Nothobranchius furzeri: one gene and its partners. The protein of the gene in region 1 interacts with the protein of each later gene in a biochemical or structural test. Links are inferred from orthologs where the notes say so. Each region holds a gene or a part of one and is shown in the gene's direction. Other genes may lie near its edges.

What was found.
Region 2: the proteins of sumo1 (region 1) and rad51 form a complex in vitro, tested with the Homo sapiens proteins (2 studies listed by BioGRID and IntAct). The link is inferred for Nothobranchius furzeri from reciprocal best matches to the Homo sapiens genes SUMO1 and RAD51.
Region 3: the proteins of sumo1 (region 1) and usp25 form a complex in vitro, tested with the Homo sapiens proteins (2 studies listed by BioGRID). The link is inferred for Nothobranchius furzeri from reciprocal best matches to the Homo sapiens genes SUMO1 and USP25.
Region 4: the proteins of sumo1 (region 1) and rnf111 form a complex in vitro, tested with the Homo sapiens proteins (3 studies listed by BioGRID). The link is inferred for Nothobranchius furzeri from reciprocal best matches to the Homo sapiens genes SUMO1 and RNF111.

Annotation. Positions count from the first base shown.
Region 1 is NC_091743.1:83,218,418-83,221,140, forward strand, and holds the end of sumo1 (small ubiquitin-related modifier 1), read left to right. Parts: intron 1-60; coding exon 61-138; intron 139-249; coding exon 250-321; intron 322-595; coding exon 596-664; 3' UTR 665-2,212; downstream 2,213-2,723. Other genes in the region: claudin-34, read right to left, coding at 2,370-2,723. UniProt on the Homo sapiens protein: Ubiquitin-like protein that can be covalently attached to proteins as a monomer or a lysine-linked polymer.
Region 2 is NC_091743.1:91,872,529-91,876,316, forward strand, and holds the end of rad51 (DNA repair protein RAD51 homolog 1), read left to right. Parts: intron 1-2,296; coding exon 2,297-2,426; intron 2,427-2,647; coding exon 2,648-2,769; intron 2,770-2,868; coding exon 2,869-2,992; 3' UTR 2,993-3,282; downstream 3,283-3,788.
Region 3 is NC_091750.1:42,750,405-42,753,924, reverse strand, and holds part of usp25 (ubiquitin carboxyl-terminal hydrolase 25), read left to right. Parts: coding exon 1-127; intron 128-218; coding exon 219-289; intron 290-358; coding exon 359-587; intron 588-3,520. UniProt on the Homo sapiens protein: Deubiquitinating enzyme that hydrolyzes ubiquitin moieties conjugated to substrates and thus, functions in various biological processes including inflammation and immune response.
Region 4 is NC_091749.1:59,511,171-59,514,690, reverse strand, and holds part of rnf111 (E3 ubiquitin-protein ligase Arkadia), read left to right. Parts: intron 1-857; coding exon 858-1,218; intron 1,219-1,313; coding exon 1,314-1,439; intron 1,440-1,594; coding exon 1,595-1,712; intron 1,713-3,282; coding exon 3,283-3,363; intron 3,364-3,520. UniProt on the Homo sapiens protein: E3 ubiquitin-protein ligase. Required for mesoderm patterning during embryonic development. Acts as an enhancer of the transcriptional responses of the SMAD2/SMAD3 effectors, which are activated downstream of BMP.

The DNA of each region.
Region 1 (2,723 bases):
GTAACAAGCAGTAAATGAACAGATTCTCATTGCTGCCTCACCCTTTTGTTTGTGCAACAGGACAGCAGTGAAATCCACTTTAAGGTGAAAATGACCACACATCTAAAGAAACTCAAAGAGTCGTACAGCCAGAGACAGGTACGATCAGCTGTAGCTCCTATTGCTGCTCGATTCTTTACTCTAAACCAAACAAAGAGAAACTCGACGAACCCAAACGTCTTCATGTGTCCTCTGGTGCTTCTCTCACAGGGCGTCCCAGCGAGCACACTAAGGTTTCTGTTTGAGGGACAGAGAATCGCAGACAACCAGACTCCAAAAGAGGTAAACATGGCCGCCGTGGCCTTATTATTCTGTCATGTTGATGCTGAAACTGTTCTTAGTGTGTTCATTCTCACCGATCTGTTTTGTTTACGCTCTGAACCTTTCACTGACTCGTTTATCTGGGCTGCTGTCGTGTATTTTATAGTCACGGTTTGTCTCCGGAGTCCTAACAAGATGATTAGATCAGCAGCTTTTCACTATATCACAGATGTGGGACTGTAGGAGTTACTAACGTTTCTGGTTTGCTGATTTCTCTGCTGTGTGTCGCTGGCAGCTTGGGATGGAAGATGAAGACGTCATCGAGGTGTATCAAGAACAGACCGGGGGATTTTGGAACGATTAAACCTCTCAGTTTATTATTATTTTGATTTTTTTTGTTTTGTTTTTTGTATGTATGTATTGTTGTTTGTTTTCAAACCATCTGGATCATAATGGACTCACTGGGCTTCCAGGTGTGAGACAGGGAGGTGCACAGACAGCAGGTCCCTGGTTCTGCAGATGGAGGACGTTCTCGTTGTCAGCCCGAGCTTTAGCATTCTGCGTCATATCGGATTCCCACAAATCATGCCTCTGTGTTGCTGCTTTTGTTTTTTTTAATCACTTGTCAAAGGGTTCAGAAATAAACGTCATAAAAGCAAATGTTAAAAACACGTACTGATTTTTAAGTGGCTGTATGAGTTATAAAAACCAACAACGTTGTTGTCCTGAAGCCCGGATATTTCACACCGTTTAAGACTTTCAGCTCTGCTCCTGTTTGGGAAATGTCCTCAACGAGAAATAAATGGACAATATCCAGATTTAGTTCAAACGAAGCAGGAGACGGAATTTCTAGTGTTGCTTGACTTTAGCTCTTTAAACTAAGATGTGAGTGGTTTTATTTTTTTTTTATATATAGAAGTAACTTTTAAAGTGTTTGAAACGGTCCAGGCAGTGAAACACGTGTCTGCTTCTAAAAGATTTTATAATTTCTTTGCAACTTCAGGGCTTCAGAGGTTGCCATGACAACAGCTCTTTTACTGAATGGTCAGAAACCAGAATGTGTCTTTTATATTTAACTACCAATGTAAAATGATGTTTTCATTTAAATAAAAAAACCTTTTGATTCTAAATTTGGATTTTCTAAAAACACTTTTTCTGTGATCCAAAAGGATCCCAGGAAGCTTTTCAGTAAATCTTAAAATGAGTTTCATTTTCTACTTTTACTGGGGTGGTTCAACAGCCCTGTCTCTGCTCAGGCTGGGATTACTGGGCCGTAATCTGGGCTTCTGTGGATTAAATCAGTTTTCTACATCTCATCCAAACTAAAACTTCTCTGCTGATATTTTATGACTTTTTTATTTTAGTCGTGCTTGTCTTGTATATTTTGTGTTCAGCATTAATGTGTTTGAATGGAATAAAGTATATATAGATGAAAACTTTCTGCTGATTCTGTCCAGCAGTTCAAATGTTTTTAAGCAATGATTTTGGTGCTTCTTTGGAAGCGTACATGTCTTGTGATGAAATCTGAACCCGATAAAAACAACCCGAACTGCTTCGTAAAGCTGGATAAGGATGTGATCCGATGTTTGACAGCATGAACTGACCTGAGATCAGCCGTCTCTACTGCCACACGAGGGTTTTCTCCACCATCTGTAACAATGTGGAGTTACATCTGCTTAAATTATAGACATACACTTTAATAAATGAGTTGTTTCCTTCCAGAGATGCATGCAATAAAAAAGTTCAGAACCTTTGGTTTAAACTTGTCGGTGTTTGAATAATGAGCAGCTCAGGTGAACTCGTCTCCACCTGAACCGGGAGGGCTGTGATTGGGTGGAGGAACCTTGATGCAGATGGTTTGAAATGATGGGAGATGTGATTTTTTTATTTGAATAAAATATTTAACGGAAAATGCTCGTGTGTGTGTTTTATTGTGTGCTTGTTCTTAAAAATATTTCTACTCCTGCTGAATTGGAAAGAAAAACATACAAAATGCATGAACCTGTGATCTTAGTTTTGTACAAAAGTCATTCAAAATAAAGATGAGTCATGTGGGGTCTCAGAATAAATCAGAAGTATTCAGCCATGTCAAACGCTGGGTTGTCTTTGCCACTGGGGATCACAGCCTTGTGGTCGTTTGGTCCTGATGCTGAGGAAGTGCTCTGATGCAGCTGCTCCAGCACAGAGTGAAGCATCATGGGTATTGTTCTCTCTGGCAGTTTGTACGAACAGAACACAATCCCAGACACAATCATGAGGACAGAGCCCACAATCCCCACGCCGATGCCTCCTCCCACCTGCTGGGACTCTGGTGCCCGAGGAAACTCGAACTCGGGTGGAAACGCGATGGTCTGGTTTGTCACAACTGAGCTCAGATTCCAGAGGAGAGGAACAAGGGCTAGCACAGCTGCCAGCAGGCACAG
Region 2 (3,788 bases), about 8.7 Mb from region 1:
AGAGCCAACAGATATAGTCAGTCTACAGGGAGATAAAATGCTACAAGAATTATTACAAGTTCACATTTGATGTTTTTCTGGCTTTTTTGAAAGAAACTGAACCTGATTTGTTGCTAAACAGGAAAGGATGTTTATTATTATTATTTATTAAAGATCATGTTGCCTCTGTTGCTCGTTCATGCCGCTTTGTTCATTGAGCTCCACTGGCTACCGCTAGCAGCACGCATCAAATTCAAATAGCTAACACTAGCATACAAAGTCCGAGATGGAACGGCTCCCATCTACCTGAATCCTCTTGTAAAGGCTTACGTCTCGGCCCGGCCGCTCCGGTCACCACAGGATGGTCGGCTAGCAGTGCCTACACCACGCTCAGGACAATCCAGACTCTTCTCTTGCATCGTTCCACAAATGTGGAATGACCTTCCAAGCTCTACCAGAACTGCGGCTTCCTTTTCTATTTTCAGGAAACTCAATTTCCCTCTGGGATTAATAAAGTATTTTTGAATTGAATTGAATTGAAGACCCTGCTCTTCAGAGAGCATCTTCTAAACTAGCACCCTCCCTGCACCCGTCCCCCCTCTCTACTGTCCACTCCTTGTTCCCTCCTCTCCATGACTGATGTCAAGTTGTTGTTGTTGTTGTTGGCCTCAAGGGCAACATGCCGATTATCACTTGTAAGTCGCTTTGGACAAAAGCGTCTGCTAAATACATAAACATGAACATATTATAGCGATGAGTTCACATTTTCTTCAAAAAACTTCTCAAGATCTGGCTGTAAACATAAAAACTTGCAGCGAGGGAAAACGGTTTCCTCTTACACGAAATAGCCAATCGTAGTAGAGCCCTTCCAGCCAATCAGAGGCGAGAAAGGTAGGACCTTCCTTGGACATTCTAGAATGCCAAATGACGCTTCCGGGGGAATCCCGAGGTGTTCCCTGGCCAGGTGAGAGACATAGTCCCTCCAAGGTGTTCTGGGTTTCCCTTTAGGCCTTCTCCCGGTTGGATGTGCCCAGAAAACCTCACCAGGGAGGCGTCCTGACCAGATGCCTGAACCACCTCAACTGGCTCCTCTCGATGTGGAGGAGCATGGATCTACTCTGTGCCCCTCCCGGATGACTGAGCTTCTCACCCTATCTCTAAGGGAGAGCCCAGCCATCCTGCGGATAAAACTCATTTCGGCCGCTTGTATCCGTGATCTCGTTCTTTCGGTCACTACCCAAAGCTCATGACCATAGGTGATGGTAGGAACGTAGATCCACCGGTAAATCGAGAGCTTCGCCTTCTGACTCAGCTCTCTCTTCACCACGACAGACCGGTACAACGCCCGCATCACTGCAGACGCAGCACCAATCCACCTATCGAACGAGCCCGACGTACTACCGGCAATGTGGACCAAGCTCTGACACCGGTCATTTAGGGCCCTAACTGCCTGTATCAGAGGGCCTGGTACTCAATACCCCTGGAGTACGCCCCACAGGGCCCCCAAGGGGGTCAAATTCCTTCTCCAAATCCACAAAACACATGTAGGGAAAACTCCTACGCACCCTCCAGGGCCCTCCTAGGGGTATCGAGCTGGTCCAGTGTTCCACGGCCAGGACGAAAACCACATTGCTCCTCCTGAATCTGAGGTTGGACAATCCGACGGACCCTCCTCTCCAGAACCCTGAATAGACCTTACCAGGAAGGCTCAGGAGTGTGATCCCCCTGTAGTTAGAACACACCCTGCGGTCCCCCTTTTTAAATAAGGGGACCACCACCCCGGTCTGCCAGTCCAGTGGGACTGCCCCCGATGTCGACGCGATGTTGCAGAGCCGCGTCAGCCAACACAAATAACAATAACATAATCTAGCTGTGCCAGATTTATTTTCTGTTCATTGTTTACCCAATAAACGTTTTCAAAGAATGTTTTTCAACACAAACTGGATTTGATTTTAGGTTTTCTCTATTAAAGACGGTATTCAGTGATTTTACACACAAGTTATGCACTTTCTAAATAAGATTAACCTCTCTTGTATATTTTTGCACGTTTATTACTTGCTTTTTCGGGGGGGGGGGGGTGATTAATTGCGATTTAGTTTTTTTAGATTTTCAATTAATTAGGTAATTTATTTTAATTGATTCCTGGCCTTAGTTTTTTCTAAATATTTATGTAAAGATCGTAACTAAAGTCAACAGCGGCACACTTCCTGTATGCATGTGTGTTGGGCGTCGCTTGATGCTCTTATTTTGAAGGGCTTTAAGTGCAGCTGGTGTCTTGGCCTGTAACCAGTTACCTCCTGTGGTGTGTGTGTGTCAGGTATGCTTTGCTGATCGTGGACAGCGCCACGGCTCTGTACAGAACCGACTATTCGGGCAGAGGGGAGCTGTCGGCGAGGCAGGGACACCTGGGACGGTTTCTGCGTATGCTGCTCCGGCTGGCGGACGAGGTAGGCTGGACGCGCTGATGTCTGTGGCTACAAGTTCAGGAAATAGTTATTCTATCTATGGAATTACCTTCTGATGGTGAAATCCAGACTTGTTTATTTTCCTGCCTGATGACTGTGTTTGTGCATGCGCTTGTTTGTTTGTTTTCTGGATGAATGGGAGATGGGTACTTGTTGATGGGACCCATTTGGGCTCCTGAAGTCTCATCTTTGTGTTTCTGCAGTTTGGCGTTGCAGTGGTCATAACCAACCAGGTGGTGGCGCAGGTTGATGGGGCAGCCATGTTTTCTGCAGATCCCAAGAAACCAATTGGAGGCAACATTCTGGCTCATGCCTCCACCACTCGGTGGGAACACCTGGCCTTGGCCCTGAAACAGAACCTTTGTGCCTCTTTGCTGTTGTGTTGCCGTAGGTGTTCCTAACACTTTGTGTCTCACCTATGCAGCCTGTACCTGAGGAAGGGTCGAGGAGAGACCAGGATCTGCAAGATCTACGACTCCCCTTGCCTGCCGGAGGCTGAAGCCATGTTTGCCATTAATGCCGACGGCGTTGGCGATGCCAAGGATTGATCCGGCTGAGCAGCAGGAAGTCGTGGCTTGGACTGTTTAGCTGTGAGGCCACTGAAGACCAGATGTTTCCTGCAGACCAGTACCTGGATCGTACTGGTCACACCAGTGTCTTATGTTTGTTGTGAACTTCTGAGAGTTGTACTGAAACACCAGGATGGGATGAAGTCATGAATGTTTCTGTTGTAGAAGGTATGAGAGGGGTGAGGGGTGGGGTCTGAAAAAGCAACCGCTCGTTTCTAATGTCCTGATTTCTGTATAAATACTAGATTAAATGTGTTTTACGATGACAACATTTAGTTTTCTTACAGAAGCACTAGAGAAGCCCACTGATGGTTCATCTGAACTTTAATCATCAGATCAGAGAGCATGTTTGTTAACGGTCACCGGTGGAAAAATCTAAACGTTCAATGGACGATGAAAAAAGATGCATGACCTCCAACATTAACCGGAACCTTCCCCAGTCAGAGGTTCCTGCAGGCCTCACCTCAAACCCAATACGGCCACCGCATGCATGTTGGGTTGTGATGGCCGTAGAATGGACCGCTTACTTTCATTTGTTTGTTCGTATATCAGTGACTTGATCTCTCCAGCTCAGTGGCCTAGTGGTAGAGTGTCCGCCCTCAGACTGGGAGATCAGGGTTCGATTCCTGGTCGGGTCATACCAAAGACTTTGAGAAAATGGGACCCAATGCCTCCCTGCTTGACACTCAGCATTAAGGGGGTTGGATTCGGGGGTTAAACCACCAAATGGTTCCCGAGCGCGGCTGTGTCTGCAGCTCACCGCTCCCCCAGGGGA
Region 3 (3,520 bases), on another chromosome or scaffold:
ACCCACTCCCGGCTACGCCCTGACCTGCCCATGCACCCTGCCCCACGCCACATCACTGAAGAAGAGCTGAGGGTGCTCGAGGGCTGCTTGCATCGCTGGAGGAGCGAGGTGGAGAACGACACCTGTGGTAAGTCTCTGAGACCACTGCTGGAGATGGACACAGAACGTTTGATTTGCACACATTCACTTATTGGACATGACGGTCTTCCTCCTGTCAGACCTGCAGGGCAGCATAAGCAGAATCCACAGATCCATAGACCTGATGTACTCCGACAAATCCATGATGCAGGTGAGCAACACTCACACATCGGTGCACATCACCCGGCAGCTCCTTTTGACCTCCCTTGTATTTTTGTAGGTTCCATACCGGCTTCATGCAGTGCTGGTCCACGAAGGCCAGGCCAACGCGGGTCACTACTGGGCGTACATCTACGATCCTCATCAGTGTTGCTGGATGAAGTACAATGACATCTCCGTCACCAAGTCGTCCTGGGAGGAGCTAGTCAGGGACTCGTTTGGAGGCTACCGCAATGCCAGTGCCTACTGTCTGATGTACATCAACGACAAGAAGCCATTCCTCATCGAAGGTGAAAATCAGCCGCTGGCGTTCATGTGTGGTAACGCCTAATATTTTGTCAAAATTGAAACTAGAACAGTGCTCTAGAACTGGTCGCATTTGTCATGCATCAGCTGGTAATTCTATTAATTATTAAGGAAAGGATTCATTAAAATCAGTTGTCAAATGTATCTGGACAGCTCAACTCTCCAGAAAACTTGTAGAAACTAGGGAAGCTCCGATCCAATCCCGTGATCAGAAACCAGGCCCAATCAAAAGATTTAAAAAGGATTGGGAGTAAATGATCGGAAAACACGACTTTTTTAATTTATCCTGAGAGAGAGATTTTCAGATGGAGTAACAATGGCTTAGTTGCCATTAGTTGGTGGAAACGTGCATTGATCAATTCAGCTGCATACCGAGGGAGTAAACAACTTGAAATATAAGCAACGATGGTACTTTTAAATATGTTCATAATATAATGAACATATTTTACACATATCCTGACACTGTTTTATAATCGGTGTACTTCCTAAACTAGTGAAAGTGAAACTTTAAGGACAACGTATTTTAATGCTTTCTTGAAAATTATCAATTCGGACTGTATCGGTAGATGACTCCGAATCGAATCGGGAGCAAAAATATGTGATTGCAACATCCCCAGCAGAATCGTTGTCAAACTGTTGACTAGTAGCAGATGAAACAAACGGTTTGATCTGAAACCCTCAGGTTAAAGTTCAGGGGTCTCATGTGTAGCGTTATGGATTTATGCTCTTTTATGAAAGAGAAACCGTGCTACGTATTAATTCGGAATATTAATTTTAATAAATCAATAACCAAATTTTATATTGTTCAGAAGACTCAAAGGTTGTTTTCATCCATAAACTGCCGATAATATCTGAGTGTCTGTGTTTCAGTTCAATGAGGAAACAAGTTTGAAGGATTAAAAGTTTTAATTATTCAAATTAAACTAATGATTTTGGAGCCAGGCCTGGGGTTGGGGCCCGTGAGCGAGCGCCTGGTGGCCGGGCTTTCGCCCATGGGGCCCGGCCGGGCCCAGCCCGAACCGGATACATGGGCTCGTCCAACTGTGGACCCACCACCCGCAGGAGGAACATGAAGGGTCCGGTGCAGTGTGGATCGGGTGGCAGACCAAGGCGGGAGCCTTGGCGGTCCAATCCCCGGACAAGGAAACTAGTTTTTGGGACATGGAACGTCACCTCGCTGGCGGGGAAGGAGCCGGAGCTTGTGGCAGAGGTTGAGCGGTACCGGCTTGATATAGTCGGACTCACCTCGACACATTGCATTGGCTCTGGAACCCGAGACCTGGAGAGGGGTTGGACACTCTACTTTGCTGGAGTTGCTCCGGGTGAGAGGCGGAGGGCTGGGGTTGGCTTTTTGTTAGCCCCGAGACTCTCTGCCTGTGTGTTGGGGTTTACCCCGGGGGACAAGAGGGTAGCTTCCTTGCGCCTTCGGGTCGGGGAACGGGTCCTGACTGTTGTTTGTGCTTATGGGCCAAATATCAGTTCAGAGTACCCACCCTTTTTGGAGTCCCTGGGACGAGTGCTAGATAGTACTCCATCAGGGGACTCCATTGTCCTGCTGGGGGACTTCAATGCTCACGTGGGCAATGACAGCTTGACCTGGAGGGGTGTGATTGGGAGGAACGGCCCACCTGATCAGAACTCGAGCGGTGTTTTGTTATTGGACTTCTGTGCAAGCCGCAGTTTGGCCATAACGAACACCATGTTCGAACATAAGGATGCCCACCGGTACACTTGGTACCAGGGCAGCCTAGGTCACAGGTCGATGATAGATTTTGTAGTCGTATCATCTGACCTGCGACCGTATGTTTTGGACACCCGAGTGAAGAGAGGGGCGGAGCTGTCAACTGATCACCACCTGGTGGTGAGTTGGATCAGATGGCAAGGGAACATGCCGCGTAGACCTGGCAGACCCAAACGCATAGTGAGGGTCTGCTGGGAACGCCTGGCAGAAGAACCTGTCAAGACGGTCTTCAACTCCCACCTCCGGCAGAGCTTTGACCACGTCCCGAGAGCAGTGGGGGACATTGAGTCCGAGTGGGCCTTGTTCCACTCTGCGATTGTCGAGGCGGCTGTTGCTAGCTGTGGCCGTAAGGTGGCCGGTGCCAGTCGTGGTGGCAACCCCCGTACCCGCTGGTGGACACCAGAGGTTCGGGGAGCCGTCAGGCTGAAGAAGGAGGCCTACAGGGCGTGGCTGGTCTGTGGGTCTCCGGAGGCAGCAGACAGGTACCGGATAGCCAAGCGGGGTGCAGCAGTGGCAGTTGCCGAGGCAAAATCTCGGGCGTGGGAGGAGTTTGGTGAGGCCATGGAGAAAGACTATCGATCGGCTCCAAAGAGGTTCTGGCAAACTGTCCGGCGCCTCAGGAGAGGAAGGCAGCAACTCGCTCACACTGTTTACAGTGGGGATGGGGAGCTGCTGACGTCAACTGAGGCTATAGTCGGACGGTGGAAGGAATACTTTGAGGAGCTCCTCAATCCCACCAATGCGCATTCCGAGGAGGAACCAGAGCTGGGAGGCCTGGGGATGGACTGTCCGATCTCGGGGGCAGAAGTTGCTGAGGTAGTCAAACAACTACACAGCGGCGGAGCCCCGGGGGCGGATGAGGTTCGTCCTGGGTATCTCAAGGCTATGGATGTTGTAGGGCTGTCATGGTTGACACGTCTCTACAACATTGCGTGGTCATCGGGGGCAGTTCCTAGGGAGTGGCAGACCGGGGTGGTGGTCCCCATCTTTAAGAAGGGTGACCTGAGGGTGTGTTCCAACTATAGGGGGATCACACTCCTCAGCCTCCCTGGAAAGGTCTACTCCAAGGTACTGGAGAGGAGGGTCCGATCGATAGTTGAATCTCAGATAGAGGAGGAGCAATGTGGTTTTCGTCCTGGCCGTGGAACTGTGGACCAGCTCTATACCCTTGCAAGG
Region 4 (3,520 bases), on another chromosome or scaffold:
CAGAAAGCCAGACATTCATCTCCGGTTTAATCCAGTTTACTTAATTATATCAGAATTTCAGGAATTTCCTGCTGCACTGTGATAATTCATTTGTGATGCCATAGCGTTGGTGGAAATAGTACACTCACACACACACACACACACACACACACACACACACACACACACACACACACACACACACACACACACACACACACACACACACACACACACACACACACACACACACACACACACACACTCCTAAAACCTAATGCTAATAGTAATTAAGAGACTGATGGTTAATGTCCCAAGTGCGGTGGGAGCTGTTCCAGGCAGGCGAAGTTAATTGGTACTCAGAATAATTTAGTATGGAGAGTGAAACCGTCTCACAGGCCTCCTGGTGTAGGATGGATCTGTGGCTGCTGGTTCCACCTTCTCTTCTTGTACCTCGGCCATAAAAGATGATGAAGAAATTTGCACCAAAACAAAAAGGAAAATGCATAAATGAATGGTTCGTGGTTCATTTAAATGACAAACATCATGTTTTATTGATTGAACACAGCATGATGGTTAGATTAGTTTAAGATTTGTCCTAATTTAGAGGACAGAACGGGACTGTTTGGAACAAAAACCGTTTTGCACGGGCGCAGCAGTCATCTTGTTAGTTTCACAAGAACAAATCAACCATTTTCTTTAAATGAAAGTACAGATTCAAAAAGAAACTAAATGGTTTGTTTCTGGATAAAACAAAGAAACATGAATATTTATTAGATGCTCATAAGAAGAGTGTTCATCTGGAGTTGTATCATTCTGTCGCTATAGTCAGAAAGTTGTTTCCTGATTGTTTTCTTTGCGTTTCATTTTAATTTCAGACGGTTCCCTAACACGATCGCTGCACCATCAGCCCTCCTCCGCCTGCCCCCATTCCCATGGGAACCCCCAACTGACAGCTCAGCCTCCTCCACAGGGCGACATTTTCGTTCCCCACAACTTTTCCCCACCCTTTCACACACCGCTGCCATCACACCCTCCGGGGCACACCGTGCCCCCCGCCCCTCCCCCTCCCTTGTCCACCCACCACCTCTCCACTTCAAGTGCCCCGCTAGCGCAGCACCTCCCTACGGACCACCAGACCCTGTCGCACCACATGCCATCTCTGGCGCAGCGGCTCCATCAACACGAGATGCTGCAGAGGATGGAGGTTCAGCGGCGGAGGATGATGCAGCACCCTACGTAAGTGTTAGCATCATGATGCTATAAAAAAAGTCAACTTTTATTTATGGAGCCTGTTTTCCCCCTTTTTTTTTTTCATTGTCTTCCTTTTGCAGGCGAGCACACGAGCGTCCACCTCCACACCCTCACAGAATGCACCCCAACTATGGTCATGGGCACCACATACACGTGCCACAAACTATGTCTTCCCATCCGCGCCAGCCGGAGCAAAGAACAACATGGTCCGTATCGGCAGCAGCCAGTTAGTTTTTAGTTCCACCCAAATTTGTTTTGGTTTAAGTCGGTAATTTAAAAGTTAAAAGATGTTTTAAATGTTTAAATTCTGTTTCCTGGTTTAAAAAGTCACACCTAGTGACGCTTTACTGTTCGCCAACAGGGAGCTTGGCATCGAGGCTAGTGTTCCCGTGGCACCGTACACTTCAGGGCACCTCCACCCCCACCTGCCCCACTATCATGCCCCCCCAAGACTGCACCACTTCCCCATCTCCATCATGGTAAGTGAAACCCTCAGCCCGCACGCTTACGTGATAAGTCTAGCCGAGAATGCTTATTTAGAGCATCGGTTATCTCAAGGATGGTTTTGTAAACGTTATGAATAATTCAGAAGCAATTAGCCGCGGCTCATCAGGCACTTGGAGTGCACGCTCAACAAATCCTGGATCCTTGACTCACATCCAGCGTGTCTTTAGTTTGCAGCTTTGTGATGCGGTTCATCAGTTTTGTAATTAGCTGTGACTTTTACCATCACATGATTACCATGAACACTTTTAGAACCGCATATCCTGATCAGGAAGTCAACATTTATAGATGTTTTTAGAACCGATGATGATTTTCTCTCATCGATGTCGATGCTTCAAAGTATTCAAACTAGGGTTGTCACGGTGTGAAAATGTAACCTCACGGTTATTGTGACCAAAATTATCACGGTTTTCAGTATTATCGCGGTATTTTTTTAACGTGTTGCCTTTTCAGACAACTAAATAAACCCTGTATGTCAGGAAAATATTGTCCTCAGTTTGTGTCTGAATTTTGCCTAAAATGTGTTATTTTGTAATTATGTTGTTTATTTGTTTACATTTTTAGTCTTTAAAATACCAATATTTGCCCATAACTTATTATTTTTTGTCTGTTTGATGTCGTCATTTAAAAAATATTAGATCAGATGATACTCGGTACTCAAGTAGCCTTCTAATCAGATACTTTTTTTACCCTTACTTGAGTAATAAACCCTATATCAGGAAAATATCGTCCTCGGTTTGTGTCCTTCCAGTGAGCTTTGCAGATGTGGGAAAATGTCATCAGGCAGTAATCATTGTTAAATTCATAATTATTCTCGGAGAGAGACCAACTCTTATCTGCCCCTGGGAGCCCCGTAATGCATAGCGTCATTTCAACATGGGGGTGTCCGCAACACGGTTTATATGCAGGTAGCGGCGCTGCGGCTGCTTTATATAGCGACTCGTTGCATTCTCCCTCAACCCAAATCCTCGGATCACACATTTTAGCTAAAACGCTAACGTTAGCTTGCCTTGCGTTGACTGTAGAGTTGTGGGTGATGGTCACGCAGATGTGTCATGAGATTTGAAGCGTTGCTGCCTTTCACAGACACTTTTTCTGCACGTGCTGCAAACAGAATAGCCGTCTGTCTTCTATCAACTGTCCCTCAGCATTCTTCAAATATCCAAAAAAAATGCCCGTACTTCCCACTTTGTCTTCTTTGAGGGATAAAAATGTCCTGAGTGCTGCCATCTCCTCCTTTGGCCATTATTTCAGCTTTAGCTTCAAGAAAGTTTTGGTTGTAAACAACAAAGTGCTCATGTGCTGCCGGCAACTTCAGCAGATGATACGGTGGCTGGTAAGGGTCACCGCTCCTACACCGCAGCCACTGTAATCCACCGAGATAAATTTTTTTTTTAAACAAAACAGTCATTATTAACTTTTTTTACCGGGGTTTACCGCTACACCGGTTACCGTGACAACCCTAATTCAGACTGGACTGTTGATCTTTTCCCTGGGTTTGTAATAATGTGTGTGTTTTTGTATCATCTTTGGTTTCCTCCATAGCACACTGGCATTTCTGAAGTGACCTATCCACACATTAGGTACATCTCATCTAGAATGACTGGCTTTGGAAGAACTTATGAGGTGAGTTTTGCATTTCCCAAAGAGACAAAAACCATAACATAAATGGTTTGTGCTTCGTTCGTCTCCTCTTCTTTTGCTGTTTAATTACCACAAAGATTATTAGTAGTAGTAGTATGAAGTTGTCCCAATACTGTCTGCATTTGAAATTTTGTTTTTT